Linked DNA regions of Mytilus edulis. The protein of the gene in region 2 purifies or fractionates together with the protein of the main gene of each other region. This does not show direct contact. Links are inferred from orthologs where the notes say so. Each region holds a gene or a part of one and is shown on either strand. Other genes may lie near its edges. The genes, in order: meiotic nuclear division protein 1 homolog and homologous-pairing protein 2 homolog.

The links.
Region 1: the proteins of homologous-pairing protein 2 homolog (region 2) and meiotic nuclear division protein 1 homolog purify together in Homo sapiens (co-immunoprecipitation; 6 studies listed by BioGRID and IntAct, counting the BioPlex papers as one, with this or other methods). This does not show direct contact. The link is inferred for Mytilus edulis from reciprocal best matches to the Homo sapiens genes PSMC3IP and MND1.

What each region holds. Positions count from the first base shown.
Region 1 is NC_092349.1:43,063,609-43,079,575, reverse strand, and holds the start of meiotic nuclear division protein 1 homolog, read right to left. Parts: upstream 6,813-15,967; 5' UTR 6,690-6,812; coding exon 6,687-6,689; intron 1-6,686. Other genes in the region: uncharacterized protein, read left to right, coding at 7,008-7,086, 9,044-9,138, 9,711-9,823, 10,394-10,577, 11,679-11,783, 12,726-12,802, 13,546-13,659, 14,821-14,917 and 1 more. UniProt on the Homo sapiens protein: Required for proper homologous chromosome pairing and efficient cross-over and intragenic recombination during meiosis.
Region 2 is NC_092345.1:94,963,067-94,979,094, reverse strand, and holds the start of homologous-pairing protein 2 homolog, read right to left. Parts: upstream 8,831-16,028; 5' UTR 8,742-8,830; coding exon 8,717-8,741; intron 4,518-8,716; coding exon 4,423-4,517; intron 1,394-4,422; coding exon 1,304-1,393; intron 685-1,303; coding exon 573-684; intron 124-572; coding exon 53-123; intron 1-52. Other genes in the region: enkurin-like, read left to right, coding at 8,933-9,009, 12,102-12,247, 12,836-13,065, 14,147-14,464. UniProt on the Homo sapiens protein: Plays an important role in meiotic recombination. Stimulates DMC1-mediated strand exchange required for pairing homologous chromosomes during meiosis.

The DNA.
Region 1 (15,967 bases), on a different chromosome or scaffold from region 2:
CCAAAAATTGTTTATTCCACTACGCCATTGATTGATTTTGACGTTTGTGGTTCAACATATATGGTAATTCATTATAGAAATATATCATAATGACATATGACATATTATAGACAAATATCATACTGACGGGATCTTTTAAAGTACAGAGTCACGTTATAAGCACAAAAGAAATACAAAGAGTCACATATACAAAACAAATCACAAAAAAATGAAAGCCAATACAAACACATTGACGAGATGTATAAGTACCGAGCCACGTCAAACGGATATCACATAAAACCATTCAACAGTACAAGTAATCTTAATAATAGAACAAAAACAAATAAAAGAACAATAAAACATGTTGTTAAGATGATACACAACATCAGTACGCAGATCACTTGGTTTTAAAAACCAAGTGATCTGTTTAGTGTTCCCATTTGATACTATACTGTCTATATGTTTGTTCCACTTTTATAGATTGGATTGCAAGGTAATGCTGATATTTTGAAGATGTTACTGATTGGAGGATGTGAATGTGGAGGATGTAATTATGCCGGTAGTTATTTTTCTTTTGTGAGATAGTAAGGTTGGTACATTTATAAGGGTGAAATGTCATTTATAAGCCAATCTGACTCGCATCAAGCTGCTGATTCTCGATCAAGTTGTAGTTTATGACAATCATCTTGTGTTTTTATTTCCTTGTAAATTATGCTGTCATCTGCAAAGAGTCTAAGCTTGCTGGGTTGTAGGTATTCCGGTCAGTTAGTCATTTTTATAGATAAGAAACTAGGCCCGTAGGCAGGAATTTCCATGGGGGGGTTCGTTGGACTCATGAACTCGACTTTAACAGTCACAATTTGAACAAAACGTTGACTTTAACAGTGCTTATTTGATTTCAAGGGGGGGTTCGGACGAACCCCGTCCGAACCCCCCTGGCTACGGGTATGGAAACAGTATTGGGTTCCTTGTCATGCTTGTGGTACACCAGATGTTATGGGAGGAAATGCCATTGATGACAACTGTTTGTGTTCTGTCTTGTAAAAATGCCTGAATCCAATTTAGTGTGTTATTTTGAATACCATAGAATTTGAGCTTGTAAAGGAGGCGACAATGTGAGACTTTGTCAAACACTTTAGAGAAGTCCATTATGATCAAGTCAATTTGTGTGTTACTATCAGGGGTACTACTTGTACAAGTTATTTTTATTTACTTGAAGAAGTAAAAAAAATATAGACATATAAGTTAATTATAATGTTTAAATAAAATTGCCTTTAATTTTCTCACAAAAATTCTCAAGTTTTGAGATGTAAAATCATGGCTTTAATAATTTTTCCCAGGTTAGCTCATATCCTTTTTATTAGAGTTCAATGTTTCATCTCATTAATTCAACAAAGAAACTGATAGTGCTCACAGAGATCTTAAGTATTTGCACAAGGCCTTCAAAAATTGATCCTTGGGGGCTTGTAAATGAGCTGAGTGTTCTGAAGATAATAGACAAATGGGATTTTAATTGTTCATGAAATTACACCCTCTTGCTGCCGGAGGGACACATATGTCCAAACCGGCAGTGCCGGAGGGACACATATATGTCCATGGATAAATTTATTCCAGCTTCTTATCAATGCTGTATCTCTTTCAATTAAAATACAGAAGAATAAACAGGGTCATGTTTTTCTCCAATTGGTCCCAAATGTAGTGGTCATTTTGTTGTGACGTCATATATCGAATGACGTGGTTGTTTAGCATGTTACGTCACAGACGTTGAGCTGTCGTATTTTCCGGCATATGAAATGCAACCTTGAAAAACGGTCGGCAGCAAGAGGGTTAAATGATTAGTAAAGACAACTGCAAAGGGCAGATAATTTGAAATTCTATTTGAGCAAAGAAATCCTAAGAATTCAATAAAAAAAGATAGGATAACTTTTTTGCTTCTACAGTAAAAAAATCTGAATGTCTAAGGGACATAACTCACCAAATATTTTTTTTAACCTATATACAAATAAATAAAATTCACTTGGTTAAGTATCCTTCAAATTTACTTGTATAAGTATATTAATATTGCTTCTTCAAGTAATTTAAAATAATTTGTACAAGTAGTACCCCTGACTGACTATTATTTGATTGTGCTAGTTCTTGAATGAAGTCTATTAATAGTGTTTCACACGACCTAGATTTTTTGAAGCCATGCTGAAGATCGTATAATATATTGTGTTTTTCAAGATGAGACATGATTCTACTTGTAATGATATGCTCCATGAGCTTGCAACAATATGCAGGTTAAAGATATTGGCCTGTAGTTTACGGGTTTGTATTTTCCCCCTTTTTTGAAGGCTGGGGCTACATTAACATTAGCATGTTTCCAGTCCTTAGGTGTTTCTCCAGTTTCAAGCGACTTTTTATATATCAATGTAAGGATTGGTGAGATTTGTTCCTTTAGTTCTTAAAGGACTTGATATTGTCAGGGCCGCAAGCTTTATGTGTAAAATCTACAGAAAAAAATGTACAACACAAAATGATAACATACATGACATACAAACTAGATTACCTTGGGTAACAGACAAACTGCGTAAGCTTATCAACAAGAAAATCAAAGCTTATCAAAAGAGGAAGAAATATCCCGAAAAATATAAAAAAGTTGAAACAAACAATGCAAAAAGAATTGCGTACAGAATATTGGAAATATATGGAAAAAATGATCTGTGATATACCAATATTAAAACGAACCTGGTCAATATGAAACATCAAAATCAAAACCAAAAAATCGGTTCAGCTACATCAAAAGCACATGATCTGATAACACTGGTGTTGCACCTTTGAACAAGAATGTGTCCAAAGTACACGGATGCCCCACTCGCACTATCATTTTCCATGTTCAATGGACCGTGAAATAGGATAAAAAATATAATTAGGCTTTAAAATTAAAAAGATATTATCATAGGGAACATGTGTATTAAGTTTCAAGTTGATTGGACTTCAACTTCATCAAAAACTACCTTGACCAAAAACTTTAACCTGAAACATGCACTTTCATTTTCTATGTTCAGTGGACCGTGAAATTGGGGTCAAAAGTTTAATTTGGCTTTAAAATTAGAAAGATCATGTCATAAGGAACATGTGTACTAAGTTTCAAGTTGATTGGACTTCAACTTCATCAAAAACTACCTTGACCAAAAACTTTAACCTGAAGCGGGACAGACGGACGAACAGACGGACTGACGGACGAACGGACGGACGGACGGACGGACGGACGGACGAACGGACGCACAGACCAGAAAACATAATGCCCCGCTACTATCGTAGGTGGGGCATAAAAAAGATGGCAAACTAGTCACAGACACTGAGGAAAAAGCGAACATTTTAAATCAACAGTTCCAATCAGTATTTACAAATGAAACGGATGATAACATCCAAGACAAAGGTAGAAGTCCCCACTCGAAAATGTCCAACATAACAATCACTGAAGCAGGTATTACAAAATTACTGTCAAACCTCTACCAGTCTACAGTTACAGATGGTACAAGCTAAAGAGGAATTTGAACCCTCAATCTTGGAATCTAAAGGCAGTGCTCTAAACAATAGACCCACAGAAGATATTACCTTACTCAACCATTTGATCTACCTTTATATTTCCAGGTATTCAACACCAAGCAACTTAATCCTTTAGATTTGGATTCTCAATTGTTCCACATCCAGGATTGATTACCAGACCAAATATTCATGATTTTTTGATAATCTAGGACTGTATTTTTGATTATTTGATTATTTTGTTAAAAAAATAATCAATGATTATGTGATTACTTGGACACCCCCAATAAGAGCCTCCTTAACGGGGGTACATTCATAAAGAATAACGTAAAGATTCTTGCCAAATGACAGTAATTGTAATTTTTGGTGCATGACAATAAAATCATGAAAATGTACTTTCTTATAGCATGTTTAGACCATAGATGTAATACCCATAGATGAAGCTCAACCCTGACTTCAAAGGTTATATGTGGGTTGTAATGGCTTTCACACTTATCTGATAATGACATGAACCAGTTGGTCATTGAGATGCAGATTGACAATCAGGACAATAGAAAACTGACAATTAAAATCTACTTAGCCATTAAACATGCTAAAAATCAAAAAGAAACAAAATCAAAATATATATTTTATATTGACTTGATTTTAAAAAATAATATTTGTTTAGATAAAACAATATTACAAAATATTCTCGTAAAGAAACAATTAAATGTGAATATTTTTCATTTTTAGGTAGAACTTCCGTTTTCATTATATTTATATTTTTAGATTTTATATAAAAACTTTATCTTTAAAATGTATGCTTACTTTTATAAGCAAGTTTATTGAACATATAATTGTTAGAAAACATTGAACAAGTTAAAAATATGTATGCTCCAAAAAGTATTTTCTATGCCTTGTATGTTTTGTTATTTAATGCATGCACTAAATTCTTAGTTTAAACATATTTATTTATAGTGGATTGTGAAACAAGTTTTGCAACTTATATTAATCCCTTTCCACTTTGCGGGTGCGAGTGCTGCCTTGTAGCGGCATTAGCCTGCTCTTTTTCGAAATCTACAAGGGTGTCTTTAACGTGCAAGAGATATGGCTCTCTCTTAACACGGGTCAGCCATTTATCGTCCCCTTCCGACGGACTATCATCGTTTCCTCGAGACCATACTCGCAAATGGTGTCAAGGGAGAGCCGAAAATTCAGTTCCTGAAATTTTCATCCCAATTGGGAATCGAACCAGGAACCTTTGTGTTAGTAGTCCGATGCACTAACCACTACACCACGGCTCTCTCTAAATTCTTAAAACTCTTTACTTATAAATACATATTCATAAACATCATGAATGAAATTATTATAATATTTTTGATTATCCAAAAAATATAAAATACATCTATGATTTAGCAACTAACTTATTCTGTAAAATTATAAAAATGGTTTGAAAAAGACCATTTCTCTTCTAAAACTGTAGAAAAACTGATTAAAAAAAGAAAACAATGTACATTTTTGTACTTTTTCTTATTTTTTTTCCCAAATTTGACGCAGTTCGGCACTTTAATGAAGCATATCAAAGAAAAGGTGTATTTTAGAAGTTCAACAACGTGCTATTCCCATTTTCCGGAACTTACAGGAACATAGTTTTTATAAAATATAAAGATACAAGCCAAAAAATACATTTTTGAATTAAGTTCAATATATTCCTTGTAAAATGCGCAATTTTTGATCGATTTCATCCATTTTTTGACCATTTTATTTGTCTGTCCAGTGCGCTAAAAATAGACATAATTTAACAACAGAAGGGACATAACTCGAGAAGAAATTTAAGAAAATCTATTATGCTGTACTGGTCAAGGAGATCAACAAATAAAAGATGTGGCTAGAGTTACTTGATAGAGTACAACACACATTTATAATGAACTTGGAATGTCTTATATCATCAATAACTTTAATTATGTTAAAGGTAATTTAAATTCTATTAAACAAAGAATTAATGACCAATGTTTGCAAGTTCAAAATGCAAATATATTTGAATCCAAAAAGTTAGACTTTTTCAAAAGTGTCTACATAATGGGCAGAAGACCACCCTATGTTGATATATTAAAAAACAGAAGTGACAGAGCTGCAATATGTAAGATCCGTATAAGCGCTCATACACTGATGATTGAAAGAGGGAGACATCTAAATATTCCCAGAAATGAGAGATACTGCTCTGTATGTAATTCTGGTCAAATTGAAAATGAAAAACATTTTCTTTTACATTGTGAAAAATACTCAACTAAGAGGGACATATTTTACCATAAAGTTTCAAATATAATCGTTGATCCTACAAAATTTCAAAAACATGAAAATAATATAATCTTTTTATTAAATAATAATTCATACACAATCCTAAAATTAACTTCCTCTTTCATCTCAGACAGTTTGAACCTGCGTAAAGCAGAACAAACTCTATAAAATTGCTAATAATCATTGTTCATAATATTACATATTAATATTGTCATTATTTTCAATACTTAATATGTTTGACCAACTATGTAATTGATATATTTTTTTTTTAATCATTTACTGTTGATGATATTGATATCGTTCGATGATATTGTTCTAAATATGCCTATTGCTATTCTATGCATTATTACTATTTGTATACCAGTTGTATGGGCCATTGCCAATTATTGTAATTGTGTTTGTGCCAATAAAATATTTGTATTTGTATTTGTATAACATCAAAGACAGTCAATTTGGTCATGGTTCTTTTTATCTAACAATAGAGAACAGTGGGGAACTTTTGGCGAGCTTTATCTATGGGTATTACATATATGTTTAGACAAATCACTTTAATTTTTTTCCAAAACTAACAGTAATGATGATAATTATTTGAAACCTCTGATGAATAACAATAGGAATATTTTGACAAATCACGGTAAAATTTTAACCAATTTTACACAAACACTAACAGTATCCGAAAATCACCCTTTGACAGTAAAGGGCAGTGCTTCTGCTTCTTATTCTTTCATAATGGTAACAATCAACAAAAAACCCTCCCCCTTCCTACCCTCTTCCAAACTCCGAATCTCAAAAGGGTTCCCAAGCACATGTGCTCTTATTGGTAAAATATGGAATATTTGAGTGGTTATAAAACATGAATGCCTGTATGACAACCATATGTTCATATATATAATATACACTACCATTTTGTCAAGCAGAAATGATTAGTTAAATTTGGCGCCTTTTCATGATACTACTTAAAACCAACAGACAGAACTGAGGACGACAACTGCAAGGTAAATGTTTTTAAACTTTCTAAATATATCTTATTCAAATCATGAATGTATCACTACAGTACTATTATCGAATCATTTATATATTCCTTTTACTCCACAAAATATTGACTCAACAGTACAAAGTATCGCAATCTTTTTTATGTTGAATTGGTTTTAAGATAAATCTTCAAGGGATTATAAAGCGTTGGTTGCTTTCCCTTCCCAAACCTTCCCTTATTTTTTTCTGTGATGGACAGAAAAGCTCAATATAAACACAAGACAGATGACGTTGATACAATACGAAATAGAAATAGAAGTGAAGAAATTGGTAGGAAATTTGGCAACCTGTTTGTTTTATGTTCAAGTTTTTGTATCTAATGACTAATGTCTGTTTTTCGTTTCTGGCTTCAGCAGTTCGAGGTTTCACTTTACACAAGATACACAACAGTCACCTTAATATTTTGAGTAAATGATTGAAAATAGGTTAAAAACGTAATTTGTGTCACTGTATTTAGTGTAAAGGAGAAGGTCCGGTAAGACCCCTTTTTGGCCCCAAAATATTGCAGTTTTACCAAATTGTTAAAATGTAAACTTTTAGTTATTTGTTGGACAGTAGAATGCTTCTGCTACATAATTATGGGCTGTTTTTGACAATACAATGCACATATATCGAGTACTAGCACCACTAAGTCATGCTAAATTACTGAAATCTTCACAATTCTATCATTTTAGTTAAATTTTAGACGGTTTTCGCTTAAAACGAAAGTGGCCGCATTCCTGTTCATCCTTAATATTGGAATGAGAGTTGTATTTTATGATAATACATAACATATATAAAGGTTTAGGATGAACACGGATGCGGCCACTTTCATTTTTGACAAAAACCATCTGAAAAGTGATATTTTTTAACAAATTTGGTAGATTTTTCATTTTGAGCTTGAATCGGATCGTTTTTAATGACTAAATCAGTTAAAACCTTTCACAAAAACTAACTGAATCAAATGAAATAGACACTTAAGTGTTTAAAAAGAGGTCAAAATCTTTCGTCAGATGAACCTGAAATTTGAGGCCAAAATCGGTCCTTACCGGACCTACTCCTTTCTTTTATAAGGCAGTTATTTGAAAACAGAAGAGGACAAAGTCTGTATATTTTTTTTTCATGGATATGATACTTTTTGTTTTAATATCAGATAAATTTGCGGGAATTCATAATTCTATATGAAAGATCTGTTCAACTTCATCAGGAGTCTTTCACAGCTCAGAGAAACCCTATGCACCTTGCATGCAAGTTAAAACTGAAAATCTGACAAAGTTCAAATATCTCCCAAAAGAGCAAATATTAATACAAAATGCACTCATTTAATTACATTAACATACATTAATTCCTGTTGAACATTGAAAAAAATACGGAAAATAACAAATTTGTTATCAAACAAACTTGCATTATTTTTGACTTATAAAATGAAGAGCTACAGCCGGTTTTTTGGAGTACTTTGAAACGTGAAACGAGGACTATAGAATTCATGAAAACCATACAAAACTTTAATAATAATCTATAGTCTATGGTGCAATGGATAAACAAAATATTGTTCTCATGATGCATATAGAAATAGTACAAGTATAAATATTAATATTGTAAGCTTTTTTTTTAGACTTCCTATTCATGAAAGAACAAATTTCTAGACTAGTATCTATTTTAATATTAATGCTTCTTTTTTTTTTTTACTTCATATTAAAGAAAAAATGTACTAGTATCAATAACAAGATGTTAATTTTTAAGTAAAGAATATCAATCTTAATATACAAGTTTTGTATAAATGTTTAAGTAAGACATACATGTAGTTGTATAGGGATTTCACATTAAAGTGTATGTTTCTATATTTTTTCTATTATTAATTTCTATACTTCTATTTCAATCTTAATCAAGACCGGCAAAATAGCAAAACTGTATACAAATCGCTATTTTGCCGGAGCCGGCAAAATAGCCACTGCCTAATACAAATCAAAACCCTGACCACATGCTCATCTACAGTAAGTCAATATACATGTATGTACAAACAGCCAGCAAAGAAAAAAATTGCTACATGTAGCATTCAAACTGTAATTTATACTTTCAAAATTACATGTACAGGCAAGATATAACTCTATGAGAACAGTACTACATGTACTAGTTTTAAAATAAGATATCATTTTGAGTTGTGTCACATATTTTTTGGATCTGTTTGTGTTGCATAATGCATAACCATAATTATAATAAGGAACCACATGATTTTTTTTATTTTCAGCTTTAAGAAAAGAAAAGAAAGATAAATTACTAAGCTCAAAAAGATTTCGTTTAGCTGAAGGAGAAGAAATTACAGATGAATACAGTATAAGTGAGGTATGGATAGTTTATTTTAGTAAATTATGTACATGTATGTAAATGACATGTACAGGCAATTTTAATGGCTGTAGTTTAAATTACTGGGTGGCAAAATTGTCTGTGAAAAAGTTGAATATTTTGTTTTATGAGAAGTACAACAATTTGGAAAGTGATACAAAGGAGGCAATGAAAAAAACACAGACAACACCATGGGTAAAAAAACAAAACAAGACCAACATCAATCCACATAACACCACACAAAAAACTAAAAATTTATAATAGATGTTCTGACATTAAGATAAAAGTTTCCATGGAATCAAATTATCAGTTTTCAAGAAAGTTCAATATTAAGATACATTGTGCAATGTGTTTAGGACAGTAAAGAGATTACTTTTAATTTCAAAATATAAAAAAATTATGAAAGCATTTTATACAATAACCATGACAAGGTTTATTCAATTCTATTTTAGAAAAAAAAAAACTTTGATCTTGATTTAATATATCAGTGTGACATTGCTTTTACTGTTTTTTAATGTGAAGTAGAAATGGATATGCTGTTACATTTCATTTACAAGTGTTATTTTTTTTAGGTAAAAACCATAACAGCTAATTTAAAGAAGTCTGGAACTAACACTTTAGCAGCTTTAAAACTTTTAAGACAGGCATTTTCACAAGGAACAGTGTACATTGATGCATTTGTAAGGCAAGTAAATTATCATTATTCAGGGCCTTTGATTGGTCAATATACAATATGGTGCACGAAAAAAACATACAAGGGGATTCAATTGAAAATCAATGTTAAAGGGGAGATAATTGAAATTGCAGGGCTGGGGTTCATTCACAGTTCCTGATCATATTTGTTGTATATCACTCTTTGATATGACAGGACATTATATTTATGCCCTTAGTGAGTTGTAGTGTAATTTGTTTGTCTACTGTATCTCTATCTGTCAACACTGAAGTTGTGAGTTTGAACGGAGTACATGGCAGGTGTGTTTGTCTCTAATGAAAGTTGACTAGGGTTGTCGGTTTTTCCTGCATGGTTCTCTCTTGATACTCTTGCAGCCTTGCTTACTTCATCATTAAACAGTGACTGCTGTGATAAAGCTTATACTATCGAAAGAGACATTAAACACCAATAATAAATCAATCTGCCTTTAGAGATAAAGTAAGTAATTAAGCTACTTAGCTACGCATGCTAAAAAAATTCTCTGTGTTATCAGTGTTTATTCAACTTTATAATTAATTGATAATGAAATTTGATTTTTTCTAGTGAGGAAAACATTATACACACACTGGTTGGACTATATACAGGAACAAATTCAGATTTACAGCTAGAAGCTGGATGGTGTATTACAAACATATCAGCAGGAAGTCATGACCAGGCCATGTTAATCTCTAAATATGTAGCTCCATACTTAGTAGCTTACTTAAGTAGTCAGAACTTTCTCTTACAGGTACTAATCTATTCTACGAGAAGAAGATTAATATTTTAAATGTGAAAATTTTTGCAGATTGATATTTTACTATTTCAATGCTTACTGGTAACCTTTAACAATGTTACACCCAATCCTGAAATATGAAACTTTAAATGCCTCTTTTTCATGAATTAAGTTAAATTTTGCAAATTATTATGAATGTCAGATTTTTTATGCAGAGTATTCATGATTGTGAAATAAGCAAAAATAACCATCACACAGAAATTTTCATGTTTATTGTAAATATGTAATGTGTTTGTATTAGTGGTATTTTTCTTCAGCTGCTATTTATTTACCAACTGTGAAGTGTGTAAAATCCTTATAACAATATAAAGATTGCCAATGAGACAACTATCCACCAACAACAACCACTAGAGGAGAATGCAATATACTGATTAATCAAAAATAACTGATAACTTAGAAAGACATGAAATACAGGTGGAGGTTGATGGGATTAAAGTTTGGTTTTGTCGTTTTTACAACAATAAAAAACAATCAAATATAAATGCAGTTTATTATGGATTTAACATGAACATTTCCTTTCTGTAACCAAACCTTGAAGGACCCTTTAAAAAAAATAAAAATCAACTAAAAGGTTGTTTTCTCTGTGAATTTTTGTTTGATGGGACAAAGAGCCATATAACCAACATTTCTAATTAAAAACAGTTGTAAAAAGAAGTTGTTAACTTATTTTTTTTGTAGATCAATCTGAAGTTTAGTCTCAAACAGATGTAATTCCTCAAAACTAATGCTTTCAGTACTAAAACGTTTCTCTTCTCATAGCTTTTTTCATATGATATTCACGATTCTTACTACATGTACTGCGGATTCATTATTATTCATTGGAAACCAATTTTCGTGGGAACAGGTGAACCACAAACTCAAATGTTCAAAAAGTTACAAATTTTATATAGGCTTTGTATAGCATGTATAATTAAGAGATAACTAAATCATGAAAAAGTTTTCCTCAATCAGCGAAAATTGATACCCACGAAAATAAACGAATCCACAGTATTGAATAATTTCGTGAGTTTTAGGAGCAGCTGTTGACTATCTTTACCTTATGTTTTATTTTTATAGGACCAGAGTGCTTGGGCCCTAGGTAATTTGGCAGGTGACAGTCAAGAATGCAGAAATATGGTCCGAGCTCAGGGTGTGGTTGCACCATTAATTAAATTGCTACAGGTTAGTCTAATATGAGATTTACATTGAAGAAAAATGTGTATAAGTTAGATATCATTATCAATGAATACTCAGAAATAGTTGTGCTTATTTTTTTGCAAACCAACTAAACTAAAATGATTTTAATACCAATTGAAATGCTTGCTTTTTTTCAATAAATGTTATATGCTTAACTTGAAACATGAAATTTTAAAACATATAAACCATATCTATTAACACATGTACAGACAAGTCTTAAGGAAACGATGATAGTCTGTCGGAAGGGGACGATAAATGGCTGACCCGTGTTAATTAATGGAGAGAGCCATATCTCTTGCACGTTAAACACACCCTTGTAGATTTCGAAAAAGAGTAGGCTAATGCCGCTACAAGGCAGCACTCGCACCTGCAAAGTGGAAAGAGATTAATATAAGTTGCAAAACTTGTTTCCCAATCCACTATGAATAGATATGTTTAAACTAAGGTTAATAAGGATCCTTAGATAAAGTTCCTTCACTATGTTAATTTCTCTAATGGCTATTACAACATTTAAAGACCTTTTAGTCTTAAAGGCTACATGATTTTGAGACATTATATTCTTGATAGGATACATAGCATTCGGATATCAAATCAACTTACCGGTATTAATATCTCAGTATAAGTGTATGAGGCATTGTTGGTAAACATTGATAGAAGTTTTCTCAGAAAACCTGAGAAACCTATTCTTAAATAGAATGTGCAATAGTTGTTGTATCCAATCAGAGATAACATAACTCATGTTAAACATTAAAGATGATTTATAAAATTAAACCCAAATTTATTTTATATGATCAGGAACACAGTTGAAACATGAAGGAGTAAATTAGTTAAGAATGAAAGAAAGAATATTAAAAATCTCACTGTTGTTTTTTGCAATGAACATTTTCTCTGAGTTTTCCTTGCAGTAAAAGATTTGCTTTATTTCAGTCCCAACATCCTGCTGTTGTCCAGTCTGCAGCTTTTGCTTTGTCAAACTTGGCCAAGGAATGCATTGAAATCTCAAGGTAGGATGTTTGAATTGTATATTTTGGATATTAAAAAAATTGATACTTGTGAAGCCTGAATGGATTTTTATTAAATGAAAATGTGGTAACAATTTAAAGTTAATGCAAAGGTTAGATAACGTGTCAGCTGATTAAAATATTGACAAGTAAAGCTTGGTCGTCTGTCCCTAAATCTACACTTTGTATAAAAGGGGAGATAATGCTTTGATAAAATTTTATAAAAAAACTTGTGCTTAATCAATGGATAAAAGCTCACTTTCTGTTTTAAAAAGTTTCAGTTTGTTGTTCCATAGTTAAATTGTTTGAGGCTATATATCACATATATTGGACAAGTTTGTTTTGATTGAAACTTTACACTGTTGTTTCAAAAAATATCTTGATGGTCGTTACAGAGTTATGGGACATCAACCATCAGATAAAAGTAAGTTTTTCACATGTCCAGCAATAAATACAGTTTACTGAGATCGATTTACTTGAAACTTTTGTTTATTTGGGGGTTTGTTAAAAGCAAACTCCCTTTTAATTTCCAAATTTTTGTTTATAATTCAAGAGTTGTGGGACTTGAATCATCAAAATAACTGCATTTCATACATGTTATGCACTAACTGTATTAGATATAATCAGATTAATTTACTTAAATTTTATAATATTTTGGGGATTTGTTAAAAAAAGCTGCCTTTCTTATATACGATTTTCAGATTTGTTCTTTTAAATTTATTGTAATAACTGTTGATATATTTTAGGGAGATGGTACAGGGACAGGTTATTTCAGCATTACTGCCACATTTCATCTACCATCCAGACAATGTCAATATACTGTCAGAGGTGTCGTGGGTCTTCACTTATCTAGCCTCAAGGTAGGTTAACTGAATACTGAGTCAGGTTATAACAGTGTTACTACCACATTTCGTCTATCATCCAGACAATGTCAATATACTGTCAGAGGTGTCGTGGGTCTTCACTTATCTAGCCTCAAGGTAGGTTAACTGAATACTGAGTCAGGTTATAACAGTGTTACTACCACATTTCGTCTATCATCCAGACAATGTCAATATACTGTCAGAGGTGTCGTGGGTCTTCACTTATCTAGCCTCAAGGTAGGTTAACTGAATACTGAGTCAGGTTATAACAGTGTTACTACCACATTTCGTCTATCATCCAGACAATGTCAATATACTGTCAGAGGTGTCGTGGGTCTTCACTTATCTAGCCTCAAGGTAGGTTAACTGAATACTGAGTCAGGTTATAACAGTGTTACTACCACATTTCGTCTATCATCCAGACAATGTCAATATACTGTCAGAGGTGTCGTGGGTCTTCACTTATCTAGCCTCAAGGTAGGTTAACTGAATACTGAGTCAGGATATAACAGTGTTACTACCACATTTCGTCTATCATCCAGACAATGTCAATATACTGTCAGAGGTGTCGTGGGTCTTCACTTATCTAGCCTCAAGGTAGGTTAACTGAATACTGAGTCAGGTTATAACAGTGTTACTACCACATTTCGTCTATCATCCAGACAATGTCAATATACTGTCAGAGGTGTCGTGGGTCTTCACTTATCTAGCCTCAAGGTAGGTTAACTGAATACTGAGTCAGGTTATAACAGTGTTACTACCACATTTCGTCTATCATCCAGACAATGTCAATATACTGTCAGAGGTCTCGTGGGTTTTCACTTATCTAGCCTCAAGGTAGAGTTACTGAATACTGACTGAAATATCTGAACTGAAGCATTTCGTAAAGAGACAAAATTTTATAAAACTATGTAACTTTGTAGAAATGTTTGCAACCATTTATTCAAATTTAGACATAAACCTTTTCTATAATAAATATTGTGTCTTTCAGAAGACTCAATTAAATTTAGCTGTCATTAAGACAAACATTTTTATTGTAAACATTATATTGATTAAATGTAAATGTTATATGCATGTTATTATTTGAAATACTGTAAAACAATTCATATCCAATATTGTGAAGTAAAATTTATTTAAATGCTTTTTCTTTGCTTTAAGTGGTGAATTCTCTGAAGAAATTGTGAAAAATGGTGTTTTGACACAAATAGTTGTATTGTTGATACAGTTATCTGAGGTGCAACCACATATAGCAACGGTAAGTTATAATTCTGAAAAAGAATATATAGATAACAGTGTTGTTTCCATTTATTCCCATATATTTCACATTTAAAATATAATTTTTTGCACACAAAAAATGTCATCTTCACAAAAACAAATATATGATCCTATCATTATTTACACATTTCATGCATATATAAAACAATATCAGGTATAAAAATATTAAAAAAAATAATATTTGAATTTTAGCAAGAAGCATACATAAAATTATTTTGGTACTGTTCCAGAGCGGGGAATCGTTTTTTTACACCCATGAGTACAGAAAAATAGTAGTTAAGTAACCTGACAAATGACATCATAAAGACATGCATATTTTTTAAAATCCCATATTGAATTGACAGACATAACTCTCAAAACCTCTATTTAGCATATTGAGTACTTTTTAATGACAAAAATTTGTGGATTGTTCATAAATGCTAGTTGCTATCTATGAAATCACAAATCTACTAAATACATTTTCACTTATCCCTAGAAAATAAATGAATCCACAGTATGTTGCATTTGGATTTGTGGCATTGAATTATGTGCTATTTTAATAGATACCGTCACCATGCTTCCAAATAATTGTTCCAAACATCTGTTTTCTGTCATGCTCATGCTTTGTAATTGTAATAGGTTGTAACCCCATTGCTACGTTGCCTTGGTAACCTGTGTAGTGGTCCAGACGAGTACACAGTTATGGCATGTGAGAACCAACAACTACTTCCTGTATTAGGCACATACTTATCATCCAATCACAGACATGTTAAGAAAGAAACATTATGGGTTTTATCTAATTTAACAAGTAAGATAATTATTTTGTACTTTACTGTAATATAATATTGAATAGATAGAGAGAATCATATGTTTTTTTCAAATTTATATCCATATCGAAGCAATACACCAATATAATCTCAAGAGCTCTGCTCGAGGAATAATGTTAGTTGAGGGTTGATACGTTGCCTGATATTGAAAAAGCTATATCAAGTAGATGGTTTTTTTTCCAATGACATGAGGTACTACAGATAAGATAATTGCTATAGAGACA
Region 2 (16,028 bases):
TGCAAGCTTAAAACATAACTAATATTGATCTACTTAAGTACAAATATCTTACATCTTCATTAAGGGAATTTACTTCTTTCTCTGCATCTTCTGTAGAAATAGAACTATTCAAACTTCTTAGCTCTGTCAAGTAGATGAACATTTTATCATATATTCAAAAGTGTATTGAGTGTACAATGTATTGCTTACTCTAGCAACTTATCCATGTTATCTTTAAATGGTAACAAAATGAAAAAACTTTTAGTGATCAAGCTCATTCTCCCCACCCTAAAATATTTAATTTTAATATTTTAAAAGTCCCTGTTTCACAAAATATTGGTACTGCATTTCAGATTAATCTGATTATTGGATTTTTCAAAAATAAAATTTTTACATTTTACAAATAACAAATTATAACTGGGTTGCTTCATGTATGAAATGTTAGTTTACTGATGTTTTCTGTTACATGTGAGCATCAAAATTGTTTTAACACTTCTTTTAATTGTGCTTTTTTGATAAAATTGATTCCTAGCTTTAAATCTTTATGAATATTCCTAGCTTTAAATCTTTATGAATAAATCCATTGTTCTTACCTGTCTCAAGTTTCTTGTTTTCTTCTTGTTTACTCTGTACAAGTTCAGATAATTTGACAATTTCAACATCCATTTCTTTTATCTCATTGTCATCCACATCTGGAAACTGTGACTATGTCACAAAGATCACAAAATCAAAATGTGAAAATGTCAACCATAAAATTATTTAACTCCTCTTAAGTGATAGGTAATATTTTTTTAATGTCTTAACCTTATCTGCACAGAAAAATATGAATGATTGTTTTACAGTTCTATAACCAATACAACTTTTGCAACCCATATAAACAATTTGGAAATCTTGTTTATGGCATTGCATATAAAGGTCATACTTTTCTTCGATTGTTAATGACATCTTTAGGTCTGTTGGAAGTGTACTGCTTGATATTTCAGAAAGTGAAAACCTGAGTTATTTCATATTGTACATGACATGGTTTTCTCCTTTCAATTGTTTCTCATTTTGTAATGTGGGGACTGTCTTATAGTTTTGATCATTGTCAAAGGTCATACACTGACCTTTAGCTACCAGTGACTGTGAATATTCTTAGATCTGCACTTTCTGTCTTAAAGTTTTGTTTTTTTGTTAATTGTTTTTGTGCTTCATGCTGATACAGCATGATTTGGTCATATTTTTTTTATCATCTAATAAGTTAAAACTTTCAACATCCAATCTTTGTGTATACATTTTTACTGATTTTTTCAGACAGTTTTTGACAAAGCTTTGATAACCTCACCTGGTCTGCAAAATAACATTTCTGTTTTCCATTGATTTTTTCCTTAATTTTACCATCTTCTGTCAGAACTTCACACGCTTTAACTATGGCCTGAAAAAGGAGTGGTCTATTATGTAAAATGTTTTAAACTTTAGGTAGCAATACACAGTTAGGAAAAAAACTTAAAATTGACACTCAAAACTTTTAAACACCCTCTTTCCCCTCCTGTCTAACAAAGAAGGCTTTATATGTGTGTTATGCATGTATATACTTATAGAAAGAGAATCTTTCATAGATTTGATTTCTAATGGTCATAAGGGTGAAATATAATCCCTCTTGGGTGTAACCATGGCAACAATCTGCATTTCTTAGATACAAAATATAGCAAAAAAGGGGGGTGAACATGTCACAAAAGTCTCCAAAATTTGGTCTAAAGGAAAATTTCAATCAATTACAGTGATACCTTTCCTGAATCCATAGGTTTATATCTATCAAGTGGTCCCAAAAAAATCATATGCTTATCTGCTCGTTTTTCCATAAAATTGAATTGAAAAGATCGAGCCCAAAATCTTTGTTGATAGACACCACAATAATGTATGGACCTATGAACGGTACGGATAGGAAAATACGGACTGTCAGTCATATAAATGGCCTATAAAACATGTTAAAAACAATCTTAATGTTCATATAAACCCACTAAGAAGGCTATATTATTCTTCAATTATCTAAAAATCAATTTTATTGTACAAAAACTTTCATATTTAAAAAATTCACAGGGGCCATAATGCGAAACTAAACTTCTAACTGTGTATTGCTACCTTAAGACAATGAGAAGAATGCATATATTATCATGCTAAGCAAACCCCAACTCAAAAACAGGTAGTAGCTGTCTGACAGATACAAAAAGTTCTAACATGTTACAACTCAGTTGAGCTGATTATCAAATATGGGGTCGATCCAAGGATCCGGAAATTTTTTCACCTAATTTCGGTCATTTTGGGATAACTTAAAAGTTGGTGCCCTTTTTAAACAAAGATTGTGTGTATGCTCATACAGTCATACTCGTAGCATCAACGAACTTGTTTAACTGTTGCATCGCATTTACTTCAGAAATTTCCCTACCATGTTCCTTAAAATCGATCTTGAGCAATAAAAGGAAGGCACCAGTTTAAAAATGAAATGATTTTAATGACTCAAAACGATAAATTTCTCAAACTTCGCTTACGTTTCTTTCAATTTTAAAAACAAAATTATAACCGGATGTTTTACGACAATAGTAAAACGACCAATTCCGGACTCATTTCCGGGATTAGTTTTGTTTATCAAATTCACAGGAAATCGTCAGCTTTTGAACTGTTTTACCTTTACTAGTGTTTGAATATTAATTGTAATAGTTGGACTTGTTTAATTGAGCATGAAATCATTTTTAATTTACGATTTAGTGTCTAATTTGCGGAAGAGAATTTCAAGCATGCGTATTAGTAAACAAAGCACGTGTGTTTGTAGTGAAACAATATTTTGTTCTACGTAAATTAATTTAATTTTAAATCAGAATTGGCAATTGTCTAAGCTGAGAAAAGTAATTAAATAATGCAGACAGTTGTTATGAACTTTTAATTTCTTTAAAATATTAGTTCTGAGCTCGTGATCAATAAAAAATTTAATTAAAAACACAGGTAAAGATATTAGCGATCATTAGCCAATATTTCCCTGAGGCATTACTATAGTTATTAGGAGGGCCCTCAGGATTATAACACTTTACTGGAGTGGCAGTTTTATTACAGGAAAAGGATAACAACAAAAAATAAGTTCAAAATGGCGATTTAGACAATGTTAGAAACTCGATCTCAACGAAATGACATTGAATGACCGAAATTATTTCTGTAAAAAAATAAAATTTGTCCTAAATCCCAATTACTCATTTAGGACAAACTACTTTCAGTTTAGGTCAAGACTGGCATATATGACCGTTTCCGGACCCTTGGGTCGATCATTATATTTAAGAAATGACTGTAATATTTTTTCTGTTTGTGAAGAAATAACATAAAAATGTGGTGCACACTGAATAACCCATGTAGCCTATTCGGAATAGGCAGAACAAATATTAGTCATTTCTTATAATTTAATTCTTAATTCCATTTTAAACTGGAGTAAATCATGAAAAACGTTGATGATGTCACGATCACATAACAAAATTATGACTGAGCTGATAAACAAAATGACGTCAGCCAATTAGAAGACGTGTTACATCCAAAATTAAATTATTCAGTAATGAATAAATGTATTTGATATGTATATGATGAAAAAATTAAAACTTCAAAAACACAGAAAAAAATCAAAAGTATGGGCAAACAGGACATTAGATTTCTGACAGATCAGATTATAAATGATAAAGTTCTATCAAGATGCTTACCAAATAATTAATCATTCAAGTAAGTAGAAGCTGAGAGAAAAATCTGACTGAAAAGAGTAGTTGACAAATAGAGGGATAAATTAAATGCATTAATATAGCCAGCTCCCACTTTGTGCTAGTGTGTTAATTTACGGTTTTTGATTGAGTTAAGCCTTCCAATTGATATTTTATCGTGTGGTTTTCTATGTTGTGATGTTATGCTATTGTTTCAGAAAAAGGGAGAAGGTTTGGTACCATTAAAATGTTTAATCCCGCTGCAAATGTTTGCACCTGTCCTAAGTCAGGAATCTGATGTACAGTAGTTGTCATTTGTTAATGTAATTTATACGTGTTTCTCGTTTCTCGTTTTTTTTTTTTATAGATTAGAACGTTGGTTTTCCAGTTTGAATGGTTTTACACTAGTAATTTTGGAGCCCTTTATAGCTTTTTTTTCGGTGTGAGCCAAGGCTCCGTGTTGGAGGCCGTACATTGACTTATAATGGTTTACTTTTATATATTGTTATTTGGATGGAGAGTTGTCTCATTGGCACTCACACCACATCTTCCTATATCTATATACATGATTTAATATAACATAAAATTTGACAGTCTTTACTTCTTATTCGCAGAGACTAAAACAAACAAACTCAGATATATATACAGAGTAATCTACTGTATCATATGATATTAATTGCTTCCAGCTATTAGTCTTACAAGCCCAGTTACCCACAAACTGTATCGAACTTACTGTTTTACCATGTTCTTTATGTAAATTATTACAAATATCAATGGCACTGTAAGGTCTGTTCTGTTTATTCAAGTAATCAAACACTGCCTTGGAAGCTGTAAATACAAAACATACTTATTTTCATTAGATTGTATTCAAACTAGTTCACTTCTACTTCTACTTTATAGTGACAGCGTTCAACGTGTTGAAGTTTAGGTCACTTGTACTACTGATAGTTGCTTTGAGGATACATACATGACATATACTGTATACAGTGAAAATTTCAGTTTTGTCATTATAAAAAAAAAATTTAAAAATTTAAAAAAAACAGATAGTCTGAATGATTTCTGCTAATTATATCTTTTAGTACAAAAGTGCAGACCATTCGAAGTGTTGTCAATTTTGGGTATTATTTTAATGTTGAATTTATTTGCATAATTTGACAACCCTGCATACCAAGGTATTCACTTCAGGGACTCTAACGAAATGATTCACACAGGCGTTGGTTCACCACATGGAGTTTAATTTTAGTACAAAAGTTGAATAATTTCAGATGAGGTACTGGGTACTATAAATGATCATGAAATAAGAGAAATCCATACATAACAATTCATGTGTTGGTCAATACTATTGGTAGTGCTGATAAAGAATCATGGTTAAATACCAAACAGTCTGCCACCAGGGAAAAAAAGAAATACAAAAGGCAACAAGGCATAATAACATGAGCAATACCAGCATTCTGAAGCCCGTAGTTTCTTAAATGTCACTGGAATGACATCACTTAATTAAAATAACCAAAATGTCAAGAACATACAACCATCATTCTATACATGACAGTACTAGTAATTCTCATCTATTCTTTTAACAAGTAACTTTCTCATCACATGGACAACTCTACCTCAGAATGACAGTTATTATTTTTTAATCTTTTTTAAATGCAAAAAAATATTTTAAGAGTTGGGGTTTAGTCTAGAATCTGAACAGTAACTTTTACCACACATATATTTTTCTTTGGTTTTAAAGGGGCATTAACAGTATAGATACCTGAGCCTGTAGTTCAGTGGTTGTTTGTTGTTGGTTCATTTCTGTCTTATTGGTTTTTCATAAAATCTTTTGTTATAAATTAGGCCAGTAATTTTCTCAACTGAATTGTTTTATATTTTACACATTTGTGCCTTTTATAATCAATCATACGGTATGAGCTTTTCTCATGGTGGACACAAATGGTGGATGGCTGTAGGATTGCCTGTAATTGCTTACATTCACCTCATTCATTCATTTGAACTTTGATGGATCTAAGCTTGTCTCATTGACAACCATACCACAAATTCTTGTTTTTATAGAGAAGTATACATATTTCTGAATGTTTTGAAAATCAATCATTTTCTTTCTTCAAATGTTTTTTTCTTTCTTTTAGTCTAATTATACCATACAATAAAATTGTGCCGTCATGTATAATTCTATAGTTCATAAATTACACCATTAACACTGGGAAGACTGGTGACATCAAATGAACAAAAATTCATTTCAGTTTAAGTAGTGACATAAATGTATTCTACAAATAACTAATACTCCTTCAATTACAATTATTCATGTTTGTAACAAGAGTGCACACACTGAAATGTCTCGCCTTCTTTACTAATCATTGAAATTATGTTGATAGTCCTAAGTATAAAGCTTTATTACAACTGTCACATAAACTTAACATTAACCAAGATAGCTAAACAAAGACCAATGAACCATGAAAATAAGGTCAAGGTCAGATAAACCATGCCAGGCAGACATGTACAGCTAACAAAGCTTCCATACAACAAATATAGTTGACCTATTACTTATAGTTTTAGTAAGAAAAATAGACCAAAACACAAAAACTTAACATTGTGCAATGAACCGTGCAATTGAGGTCATGGTCAAATAAACCTGCGGGACTGACATATAGATCATAATATATTTCCATACACCAAATATAGTTGACCTTTGGCATATAATATTAGATAAAAAGACCAAAACTTAAAAACTTAACTTTGACCACTGAACCATGAAAATGGGGTCAAGTTCAGATGACAACTGCCCGCTAGACATGTACACCTTACAATCATTCCATACAACAAATATAGTAGACCTATTGCATAAAGTATGAGAAAAACCGACCAAAACACAAAAACTTAACTATAACCACTGAACCATGAAAATGAGGTCAAGGTCAGATGACACCTGCCAGTTGGACATGTACACCTTCCAGTCCTTCCATACACCAAATATACTAGCCTTATTGCTTATAGTATCTGAGATATGGACTTGACCACCAAAACTTAACCTTGTTCACTGATCCATGAAATGAGGTCGAGGTCAAGTGAAAACTGTCTGACGGGCATGAGGACCTTGCAAGGTACGCACATACCAAATATAGTTACCCTATTACTTATAATAAGAGAGAATTCAACATTACAAAAATTCTGAACTTTTTTTTCAAGTGGTCACTGAACCATGAAAATGAGGTCAAGGACATTGGACATGTGACTGACGGAAACTTCGTATCATGAGGCATCTATATACAAAGTATGAAGCATCCAGGTCTTTCACCTTCTAAATTATAAACCTTTTAAGAAGTTAGCTAACGCCGCCGCCGTAGCCGCCGCCGTAGCCGCCGCCGTTGCCGCCGCCGGATCACTATCCCTATGTCGAGCTTTCTGCAACAAAAGTTGCAGGCTCGACAAAAATCTCATTTGATATCTAATTCAATTTGTAAGTCCTTTATAAAAAATACATTAATTAATCATAAATAAAGCAAGTTAAATATGACATGTACAAACATGCCAGGCATGGGATTAAATATCATTTACTCTAGAACAAGACTCTTTTGTTCTAGATTGATGTTACAGATCATGAATTAGGAATCTCCCTGAAAAATATCATACATTTGCAGTTTAAAACATACCGTTTTTCACATTTTTAGTTTTAAATCCTTTCAATACATGCAATACATTTGTACATTGGAAAGAAACAGTATCTTTTCTTTTTGATTTCATTAATTTTTTTTTAAAACTCTAGATGTACAACATTTGTACAATGTATAAAATTTTGTAGTTTCTTTTTGATTATATAAAAGTCCCCAAAAGTATTTTTCTTTTGCAAAGGAAATTTATTTCATTTGGGATTATCATAGGAATCCAAACAGGAGAATACAAATATAATTCTTAAACCACTTGGATCAGTTGAGTACGCTGCTTATAATTCTGCATGTGTTTAAATAAATTGGGCAAAGTCCATTTTGGTGACTAGAGTACTTATTAATAACATCTTCTTTGATTTTTTGTATTGGTCTGTTTTTTTGTGTGTTTTTGATAATTTTTACATACATGTATATAGCTGTTACCACTTGTCAATATGATTCATAATGCATTAGATAAATTAGGCATATCTCTAATTCATTGACAATAAAAGGTTAATTTAATTTATATTGACATAATTATGTGTCAAGACTTTGATGGTTGTATCATGTGTTTGGAGTAAAATATCTAAATGTAATGTTTTATTAACCTTTTTACATAATGACATATGTCATGTACATTTGTAGGTGTTAAAAAAACAACAAGATTATCAAAAAGATAAATTTAAAAAGCACCAACCTGAAAGGTAAACTCAAGACACTTAATTGGCCAACAAAATAATATTTACATGTAAAATATAAAACAGATTTATTTTTGTCTTTTCATTTCACATCCAAGTTATAAGTGGTCCAAGGATACTTTCAAATTAGTCCATTTTGTCTTTATTATTAAATAGTCATCCCCTATTAAAGCTTGCAAGGTTATTCATTTTCAGCTCTTACAAGGCCATATATTCATTTCCACCCCAAACCCTTTTTCAAAATTATCAAATGGTCCCCCTCCCCAGCCTATTATTTCAGCATGGCTTGCAAGGGTTAATCTCAGAAGTTAGAGGCAGCAGAGACATATAATACAAATTGCTATGAATTGGGTGTATGTTGTCCAAAAACACTTTTGCACCCATATTGTTGGTTTTGTGTTCAATAATTTGGTAATCGAGAATGTGTATTGCTACATATTTTTTTGAAAGTTTCATAATAAATTGACATTCTGAAAACATTTGTTTTGTCAAGGATTTGTACTTGGTTTCATTTAAATAAATCTTTCGCATGTTTTGGTTAGTCATAAAATAATAAATATTTATTTTCATTGACATTGTTTCGTGCATTTCTTTCTTGTGTTGTCATTTTAAAACCGGTTTTACAGGTAAAGTTTGTTCCTACATAAATAAATGAACATATTATTGTTATTTTGTTATCAACAACCTTGTGCTTCTTTTGATTTACTCATGTTAAAATACAGACTAATCTGGTCAATGTTTACGTTTGAAGTATTGGCGGGAAATAATTTTCAGGGGACATAATATTATAATTGGAGTTATCGGCCTTTGATGACGTACTTCCTGGAAACGGCCTTAGTTTATTTATCTGAAATTTTCTTCTTGTTTGTACAGTGCATAGGACAACATCAGAGATATAAAGATGTATACAAGAGACGATGAACCAACAATTTATGGGTTGATCCCTGAAGCAGAGATAAAAAGAGAGAAAGCACCAAGGTAATGATCAAATAATTGAGATTGTCTTGCAAATAAATTAATAATAGAAAGAAATATTAGAACTGAAGTCAAGAACGTTAGTATTTAATATCAACATAGGATATTTTGCTTGGTCTTTTGCATTTTAAGTAATTGTCTCTTTATATTTTATCATAAACTGGACCCCTTTTAGTTTTTACAGCAGACTGTGCACTATTGGTTTTGCTCATTGTTGATGGTTAAACAGTAACTTATAAATTTGTAAACTTTTATGACGTTTAGTCTCTGGTGGAGAGTTTTCTCATTGACAATCATACCACATCTTATATTTATATTTGAAATTCACACTTGACTACAGAAAAGATGCCACAAGAACATTATCTTTAACAGTTCTGCCAACTTTTCATGAAGCAAATGCGTGAAATTTGGCCAAAATTGAGAAGATCAAAGAGAAAAAACAATAGATCAAAGGAAAATGCCTCCCAAAAAGCATGAACATGTGTGAGTTTCACGCTAACTGTGTGAGACTTGGCAGCCCTGCTTTAACAGTATCTCTGAAGAAAGTGCTGGGATATAATTGTCTCTCATTCAAATTACTTTAAAACTCCAAAAAGACAAAGAACAGATAACTAATCAAGCTACATTGTAATAGATTAATTCCAAACATCTTCAGGGCCGTAACTAGCCTCTTATAATATTGAGGCAAAATATATTCGCCGAGCGTAGCCAGGTGAAAAAAAATTTGCGTGGGGTCTCCGGGCCGCTCAAGGCCCCCAGAAGCTCTGAGAAAAATAACGCAAGATCGTGCATTCTGAGCGTTTCCCGGACTCTTACTTACATTGAAACGCAATTAATTTTAAGCTATTTCTTTTGACAATATTCTTGTCTCAAAGCAAAAACTCATTGTAATTTAAGACTTTTAGGTTTTACGGGACAACATTAAAAGTAGACCGATATGTAGAATAAAGCAAAAAACGAAATTCTCATAATCATTATGTCTGTCTGTTCTTGTCTTGTCTTGTATTGTGCTTAATTCAGACTTTGGTGATTTTTTTATGGCTAGATTGAAATAGAGTGACAGTGCAGTATTATATTTTAAGTACTAGTACTGCTAATGTCGACACTAAGGACCATCTTGACCTTGTTTTATGGTATTAATGATTCTTTTATTGTTGAAGACCCTCCCTCATCTATCAAGATGAAGAATAGGGGAAAAAACTTTGGCCATTGATCATTTGTATTTTTTCTATGCATTGACTTCGTGTGAGATAAGGTCCTGTGCACGTTTACTCCATATTCTTTTTTTCTGTTTAAGAGTCTAAACACAACTTCATGCAAGTTTAATCCTTCAATGTAAAAGGTCATATAGCAATAAATTGACTTTTTTTAAAGATGATTTGATACCGGGAAATTTGTGGTCTTACTTTAATTTAAACCATGTCAGCTATCTATTTTCATATACAAAAAAGAGCCAGTTTTGTATTCTTTGATATCAAGTTCAATTCTCCATGCAGAAACGACATTTTTTTTATGTCCAGTAGCATCGTATATTCTTAAAATAGTTTCTCGTACAATGTCTGGACATCGGTGGACATGCAACATGGCAAAACCACAGTTTACGAATGAAAATCAACACTCTGCAGACTATAGTTATAAAGTAGGACAATAAATGAACAAAAGACAAACCCGGGACACAGAAGTGCAAACAATAGACTATCAACTCTGAAAACTAAAAGTAAAATAGAAACATGGATCTCGAAAAACATGCCCGGGAGACAACAGAGAGACTTGCAAGACACTTCGTGAAAATAATTCAGGTTGATATGAAGACAATCCTGTTTCAGTTTTTTTTTTTTTTTTTGAAAATTTCCAACATGAGGCATTTGCCTCATTTGCCTCAATGTAGTTACGGCCCTGATCTTATATTTTTTGAATACTTTAATACTTATAACATATAATTCATCAGGATCCTTAATTTAATTATAAAAGAATGACAATATTATACTTTGTAATGTCATCATCACAATTCGCCCGAAAGTAATCTTGTTTGAAAAAATGTTGATGGCTTTGAACCTTTCTGTACCTAAAGACAGGGTTTCTTTCCCCTGGGTCAATTATTTTTTTCGCCACCTGTTTCACCGAAACAATATATTTTTCGCCACTTTATTATTTTTTTCGCCAAGTAACACAAATGTATTTTTCTTTTAAAATTTTCCTTTTTTCCAGCCCCCACCCCCTAAATAAGAGTGGTTTTTACAACAAAACAAAACATTTTATCACTAGAAATTGATCCCTTGTAGAAGGTGTAGTCATTACATTGAAGGGTTACTTTCATGCCAACCTTTTGAATAGATTTCTTCATAACGATTGTTTTCTTTTCTAGACCATCATAAATAAAATGTCATGAAACAGTCTTCTTCTTCTTCTTCTTTAGTAAAGAAGAAGAAGAAGAAGACTGTTTCAAAATTTTTTAACCAAGATAAATGAAAACTACCTTGTTGACTAGTTTAGCCCCCATTCTTAAAAGAGTCCCAGTCAAAGTATTAAGGAAAAAAAAACCAGAAACTGTTCTGCCTTCATTAACAACTACAGGTCATGACTGTACGTCCATCAACATTGATCAAAACCTTGTCAGCTAAAAAGGCCACAAAATGGCAAATGTAAATCAAACATGAAAACTAAGTCTGATTTGTGTACAAAACCATGAATAATAAACAGATAGGATATAAATTTAAAAAGAGGAAGATGAGGTACATTTTTGTATTATTGCCAATCCGACAACTCTCCGCAAGAGAAATTAACAACTACAGGTCATTATTTGATAATGCAAAGGATTTTCTGTTTCAAGAAAGTTTACTTTAAAAAGTAATAGTAAAACTTAGCTTAATCTGAAGTTTCATATGACTTTAAACCAAACAACTGCATATGCATGCATGAGCCTTTTGAAAGAATTAAGAAAATGAAAGATACATGTACAAATGTATGTATGCAGCAATAACATGAAAAACATAAAGGAAAATCTTTCACTTTTTATAATAATTGAAAAAAATATCATTTCTAATTTATGGATGTATACAAATATTTTAATAATTCTTGTATTATTTTTTTTAAAGACATGTTTCAAAGTTCAGAGATGATGCAAAGGGTGATTATGTCAAACTTAAAGATGATCACAAGACAATGGGCCAAGCCAAAGTTCCTGTTAGACAACCAGAAAGTTTTATGAAGAAACATGAAAAAGAACCTGTCCTTCCAGACAGTAAGTTATTGTTTCTTTAGTCAGGTGACCATTTGGTTATAACATTTTATATCAGTTGTGGAACATGGGACTAAAAACTTACAAGAAAGCATAATTAAATGTTAATTACTTCCCCCAAAAAATTATAAAATTTTGAAAGTGTGCTTCATTTTAATGTCTATCATAATGAAAGACTAAGTTTCTACAAGGTCTCAAATCAAGATCACTCAATGTAGTAGTTAAATTTGTAAACCTTAAATTTTGGAAAATACCTCAGAAGAATTTTATTTATAAATAAAATGTGATTTAAATTACTGTGAACATTTCCATTTCAATATAAATGGTAATACGTCTTGTTTTAATGTCCAAATTTTTTTCTTAAAGAAATAAAAACCCATGAAAACTTCAATTTTTGAGTTAATCAGTATATTTATAGATCTGATCTATTTCATAAATTTTTTTTATAAATATTCAATTCTTTATATAATCAGATTCAGTTGAAGTTCTTGTATTTCAAATGTGTACATGTATGAAAAACTGTTCTACAAAAAAATTCTGTCCATTTATATTACTTTGTCTTAGTTTATGTGTTTCCCATTTTGTTTACAGGGAGAACTTTTAAATATCCAGACGAGGAAAGAAAAAGACCACCTGTACCTACAACTAAAGAGCAACCTTTAATGGGTCTCAAAACATCAAAGAATTTCATCACTAATAATGCTGTCCAAAACATCACATCTGTACCTAGAATGCCACAAAAAGTATATGTTGACACAAGGGGAGGACACAAAAACTTGCTGGAGCCATCAGGACTGGAACCAGTTTATGTTCATAGAAAGGTAACATTTATCACCTGAAACTCATTGTTTGTTCACACATTGTGTGCTAAACCTTTTTATATCTATAACAGTAAATATTTTTTTTAAGTAATCAAATTTGATTCTTTTAAAACTGATGATAGTTACTTTGACTAAAAAAAGACATTAAATATTGAAGAAAACTTAATTCTTCAAGTAGGTTCTGTGACAATTTTTAACCTGATTTTTGTGACAAAAATGTCGGTTATTGAATTGGAGATGTACGACGGGCAGGCGGCAATCAAATGTTGTCCGTGCATTAACTCATGAACCATTCAACCAAAGCTTTTAAAAGTTTAATATGTTGTTACTAACAACTAAATGAAGGTCAAGTTCAATAATGGTGATTTTGACTTTTACCGTTCAGGAGTTATGGTTCTTGAAAGATTGAAAAATGGAGTTTCCAGTCGTGCCCGTGCATTTACGCATGAACTGTTCTACCAAAGCTTCCCAAATTTTAATTTGTTGTTACTGATGACAAAATGGAGGTCAAGTTTAATAATGACGATTTTGACTGTTACCGTTCAGGAGTTATGGTTCTTGAAAGATTGAAAAATGGAGTTTCCAGTCGTGTCCGTGCATTTACACATGAACTGTTCTACCAAAGCTTCACAAATTTTAATATGTTGTTACTGATGACAAAATAGAGGTCAAATTCAATAATGACGATTTTGACTTTTACCGTTCAGGAGTTATGGTTCTTGAAAGATTGAAAAATGGTGTTTCCAGTCGTGTCCGTGCATTTTCTCACGAACTATTCATCCAAAGCTTTTAAAATTTTTATATGTTGTTACTGATGACAAAATAGAGGTCACGATTTTCACTTTCACCATTCATCAGTAATGGTTCTTGTGATATTTCCAGGACACAAATAAATGTTAATAAATCCGGTTTGCTGTCGTTGTGACAGCCTCTTGTTTAAATTTAATCTGGTGATGTAAATTGTTGACACTTATATACATGTACTAGATATTTTAAAATTCCTTGTTATGTAGATCTTTGGAGAAATTTAGAAGTAATTGTTCTGTTAAATATTTACACAACATATTTTACTTGATTGCAGGATTATGGTGAAACACCAAAATATTTAGAAAAGAGGAAGGATGAGATGAAAAGAGCTCAGGAAGAATATGATGCATATATAGCAGAACATTTCAGACGAGGAGCAATGCGATCTCTATCAGGAGACGAACGACAGGCAATTTTACAAGGTCTTAAAACAAACTGGGAGGAAATTCATGACCAGTACCAGGGCCTGTCAGTTGTTACTGATACCGCTCCAAAGAAAAACAGGAAAGAAAGAATGGAAGCTGAAATGAAACAACTAGAAAGAGACATTGAAACAATTGAAAGACACAATGTTATATACATCGGAAACTAACAATGCTTAATAAACTAAACATCATGTAAAGATAATAAGAAAATTTCCTAAATGTTGATAGATATCAGTGCTTCAAAAGTTTTACATCAGTTATACAATATTTAAAACCAATTAAGTCAATCTGAAGAACAGACAATATGCATGTATACAACAAATAAGCATTACAAAAGTAAAAATGCAAGGATAGACATAAGATATAGAAGAAAACAATCAATTTGTTAGGATTTTCAAGTTTCCATTTTATATAATTATTTTATCACTTTTTAAATTGTCATTCCATCCTTTTTAGTAACTCTATGAAGAAATTTGTTCTGTAATATATACTGTACAGATTATGTAAAAAAAATATATTTTCATTTGTTTATATAGATAAATTGGGATGGGTTTATCTATTTAACCAAATGATATATTATATTATTGAAATAAACTATGAAATATATAGCATAGACTTATCAACTTTAATTAATGTCATAAAAACTATAGATCAGAGTGATGACATGGTGTTTTTTTTCTTTTCCATTTTCTCAAAACCCTAAAATCCCATGTAGGTGTATCCTGTCATGCACCTGATGTTGAGTAGTTGTTGTTTATTGATGTGATTCATAAGTGTTTCTCATTTCTTGTTTTTTACATAGATTAGACTGTTGTTTTTCCTGTTTAAATTGTTTTACACTACCTGGTAGTCATTTTGGGGCCGTTTCACCTGCTTTAATAACCATTGATTTTATTGTCGAGCCTGCAACTTTTGTTGCAGAAAGCTCGATATAGGGATAGTGATCCAACGGCAGCGTTAGCTAACTTCTTAAAAGCTTCATATTTTAGAAGGGAGAAGACCTGGATGCTGCATACTTTGTATATAGATGCCTCATGTTACGAACTTTCCATCAGTCACATGTCCAATGTCCTTGACTTCATTTTCATTTTCATTCAGTGACTAAAAAAGTTAAGATTTTTTTGTAATATTGAATTCTCTCTTATAAGTAATTGGATAACTGTATTTGGTTTGTGCGTACCTTGCAAGGTCCTCATGCCAGTCAGACAGTTTTCACTTGACCTCAACCTCATTTCATGGATCAGTGAACAAGGTTAAGTTTTGGTGGTCAAGTCCATATCTCAGAAATTATAAGCAATAGGTCTAGTATATTCGGTGTATGGAAGGACTGTAAGGTGTACATGTCCAACTGGCAGGTGTCATCTGACCTTGACCTCATTTTCATGATTCAGTGGTTACAGTTAAGTTTTTGTGTTTTGGTCTGTTTTTCTTATATTATATGCAATTGGTCTACTATATTTGTGTATTGAATGATTGTAAGGTGTACATGTCTAGCTGACAGGTGTCATCTGACCTTGACCTCATTTTCATGGTTCAGTGGTCAAAGTTAAGTTTTTGAGTTTTGGTCTATTTTTCTAATACTTTATGCATTAGGTCAATTATATTTGGTGTATGGAAATATTTTATGATCTTTATGTCTGTTACACAGGTTTTATTTGACCTTGACCTCATTTTCACGGTCCATTGCTAAGTGTTAAGTGTTTGTGTTTTGGTCTGTTTTTCTTAATTTAT